Linked DNA regions of Ovis aries. The main gene of each other region encodes a partner of the protein of the gene in region 3 in a complex. Links are inferred from orthologs where the notes say so. Each region holds a gene or a part of one and is shown on either strand. Other genes may lie near its edges. The genes, in order: CDH5, PRKCZ and PARD3.

Evidence for each region.
Region 1: the proteins of PARD3 (region 3) and CDH5 are in contact, whole or in part, in an NMR structure (PDB 2KOH), measured with the Mus musculus proteins. The link is inferred for Ovis aries from reciprocal best matches to the Homo sapiens genes PARD3 and CDH5. Residues at the interface, in NP_296369.2 of Mus musculus: Ala599, Gly600, Leu601, Gly602, Val603, Ser604, Val605, Lys606, Gly607, Arg609, Lys611, Lys622, Ile625, Asn655, Gln656, Met659, Arg663, Met666; in NP_033998.2 of Mus musculus: Tyr774, Gly775, Asp777, Gln779, Glu780, Glu781, Leu782, Ile783, Ile784.
Region 2: PARD3 (region 3) and PRKCZ share a complex: the UniProt entries of both Homo sapiens proteins name them as parts of the par polarity complex. The link is inferred for Ovis aries from reciprocal best matches to the Homo sapiens genes PARD3 and PRKCZ.

The regions. Positions count from the first base shown.
Region 1 is NC_056067.1:33,719,250-33,722,898, reverse strand, and holds part of CDH5 (cadherin-5), read right to left. Parts: intron 2,963-3,649; coding exon 2,846-2,962; intron 1,979-2,845; coding exon 1,814-1,978; intron 1,010-1,813; coding exon 822-1,009; intron 1-821. UniProt on the Homo sapiens protein: Cadherins are calcium-dependent cell adhesion proteins. They preferentially interact with themselves in a homophilic manner in connecting cells; cadherins may thus contribute to the sorting of heterogeneous cell types.
Region 2 is NC_056065.1:49,930,725-49,934,373, forward strand, and holds part of PRKCZ (protein kinase C zeta type), read right to left. Parts: intron 2,071-3,649; coding exon 1,939-2,070; intron 1,363-1,938; coding exon 1,281-1,362; intron 1-1,280. UniProt on the Homo sapiens protein: Calcium- and diacylglycerol-independent serine/threonine-protein kinase that functions in phosphatidylinositol 3-kinase (PI3K) pathway and mitogen-activated protein (MAP) kinase cascade, and is involved in NF-kappa-B activation, mitogenic signaling, cell proliferation, cell polarity, inflammatory response and maintenance of long-term potentiation (LTP).
Region 3 is NC_056066.1:17,899,194-17,902,842, forward strand, and holds part of PARD3 (partitioning defective 3 homolog), read left to right. Parts: 5' UTR 1-213; coding exon 214-339; intron 340-3,649. UniProt on the Homo sapiens protein: Adapter protein involved in asymmetrical cell division and cell polarization processes. Seems to play a central role in the formation of epithelial tight junctions. Targets the phosphatase PTEN to cell junctions.

The DNA.
Region 1 (3,649 bases), on a different chromosome or scaffold from region 3:
TTCGACTCCCCTGGGTATATCCAGTTCCCAGCACAGGGCTGGATCAGAAAAGGACTCCAGAGAGGTCTGCTGGAGGAGTGGTCTGGCTCAGGTACACAGGTTCGAGTGTCCCCTCTGAGGAGGAGATCCCTGGCCTGGGCCCCCTAGTCCTCGGCGTGGCCATTCTGGAGGCAGTTTGTGCCCCCGGCAGACCTTGTCTCCTCTTCTAGATTCAGCTGGTTTGCCCTCTCTGCAGCAGCCACTGCCAGTGGGCACCCCATCCCCATGGTATTCACTGTGTCCTTACACACTGACAGCTTTTGGCTGCAAGCACCTGTACTCTACCAGGGCTGTCCTCGCCAGCGCCCAGGGCAGATCAGAAAGTGCCAGGAAGTGGGCCCCCAGGAGCCCTCAGGCAGCCCACAACTGCTGCGACTCAGAAGCATGTTCCGCATAGTTGCCTAGATGTCCCCAGTGGGACCGTTTCCCACTCACCCACAGTGATCACCTGCTCACTAAGGAGCCTGTCTTAACTCTCCTCCCTTTTACATCTCACTGCTCCTGGGGGCTTCCTGAGATCACCCCCCAAATGAGCTGTATACACCTAAGTCCTTGCCTCAAGGTCTGGTTCTGGGGTAGCCCAGCCCAAGGGACTGACCCTTCTTTCGTGGCTCCACGTCCCAGCTCCAGGGTCACAGGATCCACGAGCACGTGGCCTGCTCCACGCTGGCCCAAACGTGGACCTTTGGTGGCCTCTGACCCAGGAGCAGCCCCTGGCTGAGTCCTGAGCATGCCAGGGCCCCCAGTCCCCCATCTGATGCCACAGCTGCAGGCCTGCGAACCTTTATGGGCTTGATGATGCCCTCGTTGTGGGTGGGGTCCGTCTCGATGGTGAAGGTGTCCCTGTACTCGCCCTGCACGAAGCTGTACTTGGTCTTCCGGTTTTGGGGCTCATCTGGGTCCTCAACAAACAGAGAGCCCAGGGGGCTGCCCACGCGGATGTCTTCTGGCACAGAAAATGTGTACCTGGCTGATGCAGAAGGGGTGCCCCAAAGGGCATGGGGTTAATGAGGTAGACAAGGTAATTGTCGCATATACTATCCCAGTATGTTCTGATACAAGCAACAGGCACAATAAAGTAGCAGAAGCAGTAGTAGTAATTCCTCTGGAATTTTGGGTCTCAAGGCACAGAGGTTCCACTCATCTGTCCTTTCATCCCTTCATCCATCTGACAAGTAGTTATCAAGCACCCCCTGTATGTCAGGCACTTTGCTGGGGGATCTGTCAACTGCCAAGAGGAGAAGCCCTGCCTTTGAGGAGCTTTCACCATTCACAGTGAGGTCATTTCAGGGCACGCTGGCCTGTCCTTGCAGTGGCTGAGCCTCTGAGTGGCATCAGCCTTGGAGGTGCAGGTGATGAGCCTATCTGACCTCCTCCCCACCCAGCGCGTGTGAAGAGCTCCTGTTGGACATTTTCCTGTGGGGAGAGTCAGTCTGTGGGTGGGTCAGGGCCCAGCCCTGGCTCTGGCGCTCTGCTGAACCCTGGCTCCCCAGCTCGTGGGTTTTCCCAAGCTCATGGAAACTGGGTGAAACTGGTCCTGTCTGTTAGTGGGACTCTGGGCATGTGGGACACAACAGAGAGTATGATCTGCTGCTGGCCCAAGAGGGCGCCCTGGCAGGCCAGGTGTGCAGCCTTGGGAGTATGTGCAGAGACGGGGAGCGCCGGGAAGCCATCTCTGATGTAGGCTCACTCTGGGGTGGAGGGAGAGGTGGATGGATGCCAGGCTCCTCCCTGAGAGCACCGCCCCCACCAGGGCCCAGGGAGAGGGGCTCACACTGGGTGAAGATGGGGAAGTTGTCGTTGACGTCCTGCAGAGTGATGAACACAGTGGCTGTGCCTGACTCCCCCCGGCGGCCCTGGGCGTCTTCTGCTTCCACCACAACCTCGTACTTATCCTGCGTCTCTCGGTCCAGGTGTTTGTTCATGGTGACAATGAGTCCTGCAAAATGTGTCCTGTCAGGAACCATGCTACCTGAGGAACTTTTAAAGAATATGGATGCCCAGACGCTACCCAGAGAGCCGTGACTTCAGAGCTCCTGGGTGACGTCCCTGTGCAGCCAGGGCCAAGAGCCAGGGGACATCCACCACCCATCTCCACGCCCTGCACTGTCAGGCCAAAGCCACACAAACACTTTTGTCCACTGTGGGCCGAGAAAGAGCCTGAGGCCACATCTAGGCTCAGAGTGAGCAAAGTGCTGTGATGGGTTATGCCTCAGTGCAGCATAGGTTGTGTATTCGCCATTGTTCTGAATGGTGGCATGCCCCAGGCCTGACCACTTGGACTTTTGTCTTTCTCCAAAGACTCAGTCCTTACAGTTTTTTTAGGTCACATGTGATAGCTAATGACAACGAGCCACATGCTCTTTATACGTCATCTAATTCAGACTTCACAGCTCCTGTATGGGGTGCGTGCATATAACCTTCCCCATTTTCACCATGAGGACTCGCCAGTGCTCAGAGGTTGGTTGATTTGCCCAAGGTCTTTAGAAGTGGTGAGCAGCAGAGATGGGGTTGGAAACCAGATCTGTGTGGTTCCATAGCCAGAGCTGCTAACTAGCCTTCTCGTCTGCCTCTCGTGTCACTGCTTGGGTGGATTTTTGTCCCCTGGACTTGAGTTTACATCCTGGGCACCTGTCTGCCTCCTCCTGCCCTCACCAGCCCCCTTGTCTTGACGCGTGGTACCGACCGCCTCCACAGGACACTGCGAGTCAGTGTTTGGTGACATCTGTCAGACTGGGCTTCCCTCTGTGCCTACACCTCCACCCGCTCCAAGCCAGTGCTGCCCAGGGGGGTTAGTCACACGGACCAGGGCCACGGATGTCGAAACTGTCTTTTCCCTTTGTGAGCTGGTACACGACAGAAGCGTGGTCTGCCACTGTGGGGTCATCTGCATCCACTGCTGTGACCTGGATGACCGAGGTCCCTGCCGGGAGAGAATCCAGGGTTACTGCCTTGTGACCACCAGCCCCTCACCCCATTCCCAGATGAGGGCAGATGGGGCTCAGGCTGTCCCCTGAACCCCCTCTCCCGGGTCCTGTTTTCTGAGGAGCCTGCCTGGCGCTGAAGTGCTGACAGTGGCGGAGGCCCAGCCAGTCAAACATGTAGGGTGAAGAGAGCAGTGGTTTTCTTTTATGGGGGAAATGAGGGGAGGGGTGAGTGTCTGCAGTCATGGAGAGAAACAGAGGAAGAGCTGCTCTATTTTTGCTCCTGGAAGCATGAGAACAAGAGAATAGGAAGGGTCCCAAAAGACTGGGTGTCGCATGTCTTTCCCCTTGAACTCCAGGCTCCCCAGGCTTAACAAGAAGGTCTGGTCTTGAGCCCTAACCAGAGAGCCTGGACGAAGGGGTGGGGATGGGAGCTCTTTTCTTGCATCCCCTGGAGGCTGGGAGTAGAATTGAGGAAGAAATAGTCTCCTCTGGGGGCCTAGGGTCCAGGCTGGTGACATACCTGGGGATGAGGTGTGTCCCTCTCCACTGCTCCCCCCGCGACTCCTAAATAGACCCTAAAGGTAACCCCTTATCTTGATGGCAGAGTTGGCCTCCTTCATGTGTGAAGTCTATGTTCTCGGCATGCCAGCCCTGAGAGTCAGAGCAGTGGGTGGGGTTGGCTT
Region 2 (3,649 bases), on a different chromosome or scaffold from region 3:
TGGTGGGGTGGATGTGGGTGGTCAGGTGGGTGGATGTGTGTGGATGGTGGGGTGGGTGGAGAGTGAGTGGATGTGTGTGGATGGTGGGTGGGTGGGTGGTGGGTGGACATGGGTGGACAGGTGGGTGGGTGTGCGTGGATAGTGGGTGGATGTGTGTGAATGGTGGGTGGGTGGAGAGTGAGTGGACGTGTGTGGATGGTGGGTGGGTAGATACGTGTGGATGTGGACGACAGGTGGGTGGATGTGTGTGGATGGTGGGTGTGGGGGGTGGGTGGAGAGTGGACGTGTGTGGATGGTTGGTAGGCATGGGTGGTGGGTGGGTGGGTGTGGATGGTTGGGCGTGGGTGGCGGGTGGATGTGTGTGGATGGTGGGGGTGGGTGGAGAGTGAGAGGATGTGTGTGGATGGTGGGTGGGTGTGTGGATGGTGGGCATAGATGGTGGGTGGGTGGGTGGGTGGATGTGTGGACGGTGGGGGTGGTGGTAGGTGGACATGTGTGGATGGTGGGCGTGGGTGGAGAGTGAGTGGACGTGTGTGGATGGTAGGCGTGGGTGGTGGGTGGACGTGTGTGGATGGTGGATGGTTGGTGGGGGTGGATGGTGGATGGGTGGGTGGTGGGTGGGTGTGTGGTGGGTGGGTGTGTGTGGATGGTGGGCATGGGTGGTGGGTGGATGTGTGTGGACAGTGGGGGTGGGTAGAGAGTGAGTGGATGTATATGGATGGTGGGCGTGGGTGGATGTGTGTGGATGGCGGATGGTTGGTGGTGGGTGGATGTGGCCTCTCATCACTCCTGGGGAAGGAACAAGCGTTTACTGAGTGAGGCCTAGGCCCTCGTCCACCCTTGTGACTATGCACAGAACTGCAGAAGCTCAGAGCACGGCCATAAGTCCAAATGGAATCAAAATTGCTCTCTGAATGCTTCTTAGCAGTAAAAAAAAAAAAAAAACAAACAACTCTCCACAACCAAAAAAAAAAAAAACCTACTGAAACCCAAGAACTATGCAATACTGGGCACGGCAGACCTTTCCAGAGACATGAATCTGTGGTGGCCACTGCACTAGAGCCTCCTAGAACTCCTGAGGTTGCAAGAGAGGGAACCCCAGCCCCCACCCTGACTCCCATGGGCAGCAGCATAGAGATGTGGGCGCCCAGGGCAGGCAGCCCGCCCACCCTTGCTCTGGAGAGGCCGCCCCAGCCCTGCAGCGAGTGGCCACACTCACAGGCCCTGGCCTGGGAGAAAGGATCTAGAAAGGGTTCTGGGGGTGGGAGCAGCAGCCCTACTTCCGTCGCTCTCCTCGGAGGGAAGGTCCACGTCATCGCTCTTGTCGTCCACTGCAGGCTCCTGGGAAGGCATGACGGAATCCTGCAGAGACACGGGCCGAGTGACCAGGCAGCACTACACGGGGCTTCTGGAGACACTGCGTGACCGGGACTCACTTTCACATACACTGTGATGTCACAACACACGTCATTCACCTGTTACAGCATCGCCCTGAACATGGCAAGATGAGCACTGAAATTACCTGCGTTCCCACAGGCGGAGGTGGCCGCTCAGCCCTCAGGCTCCACCCTTCTAGCAGGCACTTATAAAATGTGTCTTTTCACATAGCAACGCTTAGTCCCGTCAGCCCTGCCCTCATTGCACAGCGGCCGCAGTCAGGCCCCAGCTCCAGGTTCCACGGCTGACATCACAATCGAGGCAGCTCCCTATTGGTGGACCCTGGGGCCCCAAGAGTGCTGGGGGACTCCTGGGGCTTGGAAACAGGTCCCGACCCAACTGCTGACCCAGGCCGTCACTCTGCAGCCCCTACATCACCCCCTCTTCTCATCTTGTGGGTAGCAGGGATGGGGTTAGCATCCCAGCTGGGCAGGGAGAGGCCAAGGGTCCCCAGGGGCAGCAGTGTGGACTGCACCCCAGCCGGCCGAGGTGTCCACTCACCATATGCCTGCTGCAGGTCAGTGGGACGAGCACGTAGCAGCGCTTATGAACCAGCAGTTTGCAGTGGATGCACCTGTAGCCCTGCCTCGCGAGGCCCCATATCCTCTCGCTGCACTGGCCGCAGTACGCTCTCTGTGTGGACAAGAACAGGCACCATCAGCCAGGCCTGTGCCCCCATGGTTTCTCCACACCAAGAGGACACACCTGTGCCCCCATGGTCCCTCCGCACTGAGGGGACATGCAGCCAGGCCAGGAAGAGGCCTCTTCATACAGGGTACCAGGCCCCACCCAGGCCCAGTAGTCCTGACTTGGGTCTTTCCCAAGGTTAGGGGAACCAAGGCCCCGAGGTGCTGGGCTATGCTCCCATAGGACCTTGTGGGCAGGTAATGAGACCTCTCCATGGGCAGGGCCTCCTTGCCTGCAGGACCTGGAGCGGGGCTGCAAATCCATTCTGGCTGTGCTCAGATCGGCCGAGGCGCCCCGCCAGAGTGAAGTGACCCAGGTGAGAAGGTCGTGGGGGAGCCTGACCACTGCATGACCCTCGTCCAAACCCACATGACCCCTGCATGACAAACACAGAGGCAACCATGCCTGGCAACTGAATGCATCTGGATTCTGAACTGCTCTGGGGCTCCATGCGACTCAGTTCAGTTCAGTTGTGTCCAACTCTTTGTGACCCCATGGGCTGCAGCACGCCAGGCTTCCCTGTCCATCACCAACTCCTGAAGCTTGCTCAAATTCATGTCCATTGAATCAGTGATGCCATCCAACCATCTCATACTCTGTTGTCCCCTTCTCCTCCTGCCTTCAGTCTTGCCCAGCATCAGGATCTTTTCCAATGAGTCAGTTCTTTGCATCAAGTGGCCAAGGTATTGGAGTATCAGCTTCAGCATCAGTCCTTCCAATGAATATTCAGGACTGATTTCCTTTAGGGTTGACTGGTTGGATCTCCTTGCTGTCCAAGGGACTCTCAAGAGAGTCTTTAACACCACAGTGCCTTTGAGTGTTTGAGTGTCTCCTGCAGAGGTACAGGTTAGCAGTGGCCTGCGACAGGGGCAGGGACTCTGGGTGCCGCAGACCTGGGTGTGGTATAAGCCCTCTTGAAGGAGGTCGCCATTAACTCTGCCATAGAGCCGTCAGAACTTACACAGGACTGGGGAAACAGACTCTTGGAGGGCACAAACAAAACCTTGTGCACTCCAGGACCCAGGAGAAAGGAGTAGTGACCCCACAAGAGGCTGACCCAGACTTGCCTGTGGGTGTCCATGCTAGTACGAGTCCACCCTTGTATTTTTCTCAGCATTTTAAAAATATTTTAAATGGTCAATCTTTGTTCCTCTTGGTTATAAACGCTTGAAACTCATGATCATGACTGGCTCGTTTGGTGAGGTTTTTGTAATTCTGGAAGTCACAAAATGCAAAGATGAGTGTGTCCAGAAGTGAGGTCACCTGCCCACCACTTGGAGCCCAAGCTGTCTCCTTGGTTACATGGTGTCTGTACGTTGGCAGGCTCCTGCTTACTTCTGTTCCAGCCATATCTCATTTACATGTTTTACCCTCTTTTGCCATGTTTAACAAATTTCTTTCCTTCAAGAAAGTTTCAAATTACTCCTGGAGAACAGAAAGGATGCACTGTACTGGTACTGACCAGAGCAAATCTTCCCCAAGAGTGGGCTAAGGGTGCAGGACCGGCTACTGGCAGCCAGTGGGC
Region 3 (3,649 bases):
TCTGGTCTCTGGCACATCTTTTGAAGATACCATCATAGCTCCCGCCCTGGACCCATGCTGGGAGTGTCCTGGGAGGAGGAGGGTGCTCCACCTCTGGCATCAGCAGTCCCAGGAAACACTGGGACAGGCCTTTCCACCTCCCGAGTGCCTGCAGTTGGAGCCACGTTCTGAGTACCAGCATCTGCTGTCCCCCATCTTGGGGCCACCCCTGTGATGTGGTGGTGCTGTGGCCTTCCTCGCCGGACCCTGCGCAGCGGGGGCTATGCTGAGTTTGAGTGTAGGGGCCACAGAGTGCGGCTGGATGGCTGTGTGCCCAGGCTTCTAAAAAGGAGACCCCAGGTAGGTGCAAATTATCTAACTATCAAAACCCACCGTTTCCTCACAGTCTCCTCTGTTAGTTCACGAGTCATTCTTCTGATTCAGTCCAGTTGGGTACTGCCAGATGTAAGGAATTAATTGTGGATTTTTAAGCAACTTGAGATAACATCTTTAAAGAAAGATGGGAGGTGGTTTTTGGATTAAGTCATAGGATGGGGGTGTCGAGAGCTGCTTTGGGGTCAAATTTGGTTGGTTTGTTTTAGAATTTTGCACTATTAGAGTTTATCATGTTTCAGGGAGGCTTTCTTTCTGTCGGAGAAATTCCTTTTTGTCTGAGTCAGCCTCTCTTGTTGGCTGGTTGGGGAGTAAATAGGAGAGGGGAGGTTTTTCTTTTGTGAAGCTGGGTAAGAACCTTGAGGATCTCTTAGGTTGGTTATTTCTTTATAAACAGTAGAAAAACATTCAGCATCTTAGTTCACTTTAGAAGATCTCAGTTGTTGCCTGATGTGTACAGGTGCTGTGGGCTGCTGGTGCCCCAGGATGGGTCTCTGCCCTGAGGGGTCTGAGGCCTGGTTTTAATGGTTGTATGTGTGTGCTAAGTTGCTTCAGTTGTGTCCGACTCTTTGCAACCTTATGGGCTGTAGCCTGACAGGCTCCTCTGTCCATAGCATTCTCCAGGCAAGAATACTGGAGTGGGTTGCCCTGTCCTCCAGGGGATCTTCCCCACCCAGGGGTCTCTTATGTCTCTTGCATTGGCAGGCAGATTCTTTACCACTAGTGCCACCTGGAAAGCCCTTTAATGGTTATGGGATTTTTGCTTTTTTCCCTGCAGCTTGGAATCCAGCACTTACAGGTGCCGACATGCTTCTTAAATCTATATGTCTTTATAGGTGACACTGGGGGTAAAACATTACTTCCTTAAACTGAAGATAGTCTAGTCTATATACGTGTAGACTTGGGTTACATATTTTTCGTTGTTATTTTTTCCCATTCTAAGTGAAAAAAAAAAAAAAAAGAATGAAAGAAAGAAAAGACAAGACTCTATCCTGATCAGATTTTCCCTTCCTCGTGTGTCCTCCTAACAAATCCATTTGATCCTTGTGCAAGAAGCAGTGCGTCCAAAAGAGCAGAGCAGTCACTGAGAAGTCAGAGTGACATCTGAGCTGAAATGCCCTTTCTCTTCCATGATCTCAGACAGGTTGGGTTTCCTGCTCCCCTGGCCTCACACCTGCACATGGAGCCGGAAGCATTTACCTCGAATGAATGTCCTGAAAACCATTGCTGTGCATGAGTGGCCCCATGCTGGCCCCTCGTGGAGTCGGGAGGGTTAGGGAGGCCCAGGGAGGCCTGGTGCAGGCGCCCACCTTCAGCTCTCTGGTGGTCCCCAGGCCTGGAAGGAGAGGCTTGGAGCTGGGGAGGACACTCCTGTAGGTCCATATTGTTTTTCGGGTCTCAGCCTCATTTACTGTCTCACGCCCTTTCCTGGTGCCTCTGGCCTATCAGGTGACAGTACTGCCCACCGTCTGCCCTGGGCGTCCTGACCCTCCCTGGGACGTAATCGGGGAGAACGTGGCTGGCCTCAGTAAGCTGTTGTCTGGCTCTCCTTTTCCTAAGTTGTAAGCAGGTGTGACCAGCATAAACTCAACTTCTGCCTGGTCCTCCAGGCCAGCGGTGCTGGGGATGCAGCTCTGCGCGTGAGCATGAAGGTGTTTCTGCAGGAAATTGGGTTCCTTTACGTTGGGAGGATAAAGTACCTGGAAGGCTTCTTTCCCCACAGCTCAGGCCATCTGGAGTGTCAGCCAGGATAGTCACACTGAGGTTCTTGAGCAAGCTCTGCCTGAAGTCAGAGGATACAGGATAAAGGGAGCGTTGATCCCAACAGGCGCCCGTGTCCATGGGGTTTCTTTTGGTGGTTAGGGGAGCATAAGCCTCTTCGTGGATTCTAGTTTTCCGAGAAAGTCTTGTTGAAATTTCTTTTTTGTCCAATTGGGTTATTTATTATATGTATTTTATACATTATTTGTGCAACAGCATGGTGTTTTGTTCATTGTTTTGTGCTAAAGAGCAGAAGATGATCCCTGCATTTGGGGAACTTATCTAGAGATAAAAAAGTATCTCCATGCGTGTGCAAGGAAACAGGCTATCATGTGACACCTCTGTGGTCTGGATGAACACCTTGGGGTCGGAGGGCATTTCACGGGGAGGTGGTTGTGATCTCTGTGGGAGAGGGAAGGACAGCCTGGGTCACTGGAATTGTGGGGTGAATGCTCTCAGCTGTGTGGAGGGGAAGGGACCAGTGTCTACTGAGCACCTGCTCTGTCTCGGGCTTGGCTCTGGGTGCCTAGGGTAGGATCCACAGAGAGTCCGGAAAAGCAGGCTTGGAGAGTGTTGAGTGCTTGGCCGAGGACGTTGGGTTTTAGTGGTTAGGATGTAGTGAGTCACTGGAAGTGACTCATCCCAGGGCAGGGACACGATGAAATAGGTGTTTTGTGAAGATGAATGCAGTCTCAGGATGTAGAGAGGATTAAGACAGGAGCCTGGAAGCAGTGAGATGAGTTAGAAGGTGATTCCATTATTGAGAACAAGAAAAGAAGGAAGGGGAAAGGAAGGGATGTATTCACTTGTTACTTAAGGTGATAAAATTATGAAATTATACATATATGTTTCTTATGGAAAATCAGAAGGGTGGCCAATTGAGTTTAGCAGTTCTTTCCCATTGTCTGTGGCTGCAGATTCTACTTCAGACTAAAGATGAGATGCTACCTTTCATGGTGTTCTGTGCACAGCATTTAAATTGCGGTGCAGTATTTCATGGATTATATGTCCTCAATTTCTAATTGTTGGGTGTGTAGCTGCTTTCCTATTTTGTAGTACTGTTTATTAAAACATCTGATTTTCTATATACATCTTGACCATGTAGACAAACATTTTAAATTCCTGGGTCACATACTGATCACTTCCAGGAAATTTTCTGTTAATTAATTCTGTCATGATAAGACAGATTCTTCAATTGTCCCAGCTTTTTGTTTTTTAAATAAAATTTCTCTCCAGACGCAGGGTCCACTTCAGTATCATACATTGCATCTAGATACTAGATACTGTGCATTCAAAAAAAAGAAATCAGTGCAGTTGTGTTATTAAGGTCTCAACTTCTGGACTTGTCTGGTTGTTTCCTTGGGGTGTCATTTGACTTTCCGTCCCCTGTATTTCCTGTGGGGAGGTGAGGTTTATGGCTTGCTTAGGTTAAGTCAGAGGAGGATGGTACTGCCAGTAGGAATGAAGACAAGATGTTGATTTTATGGGCAAGATAAGGGATAAAAGCTTCATAAAT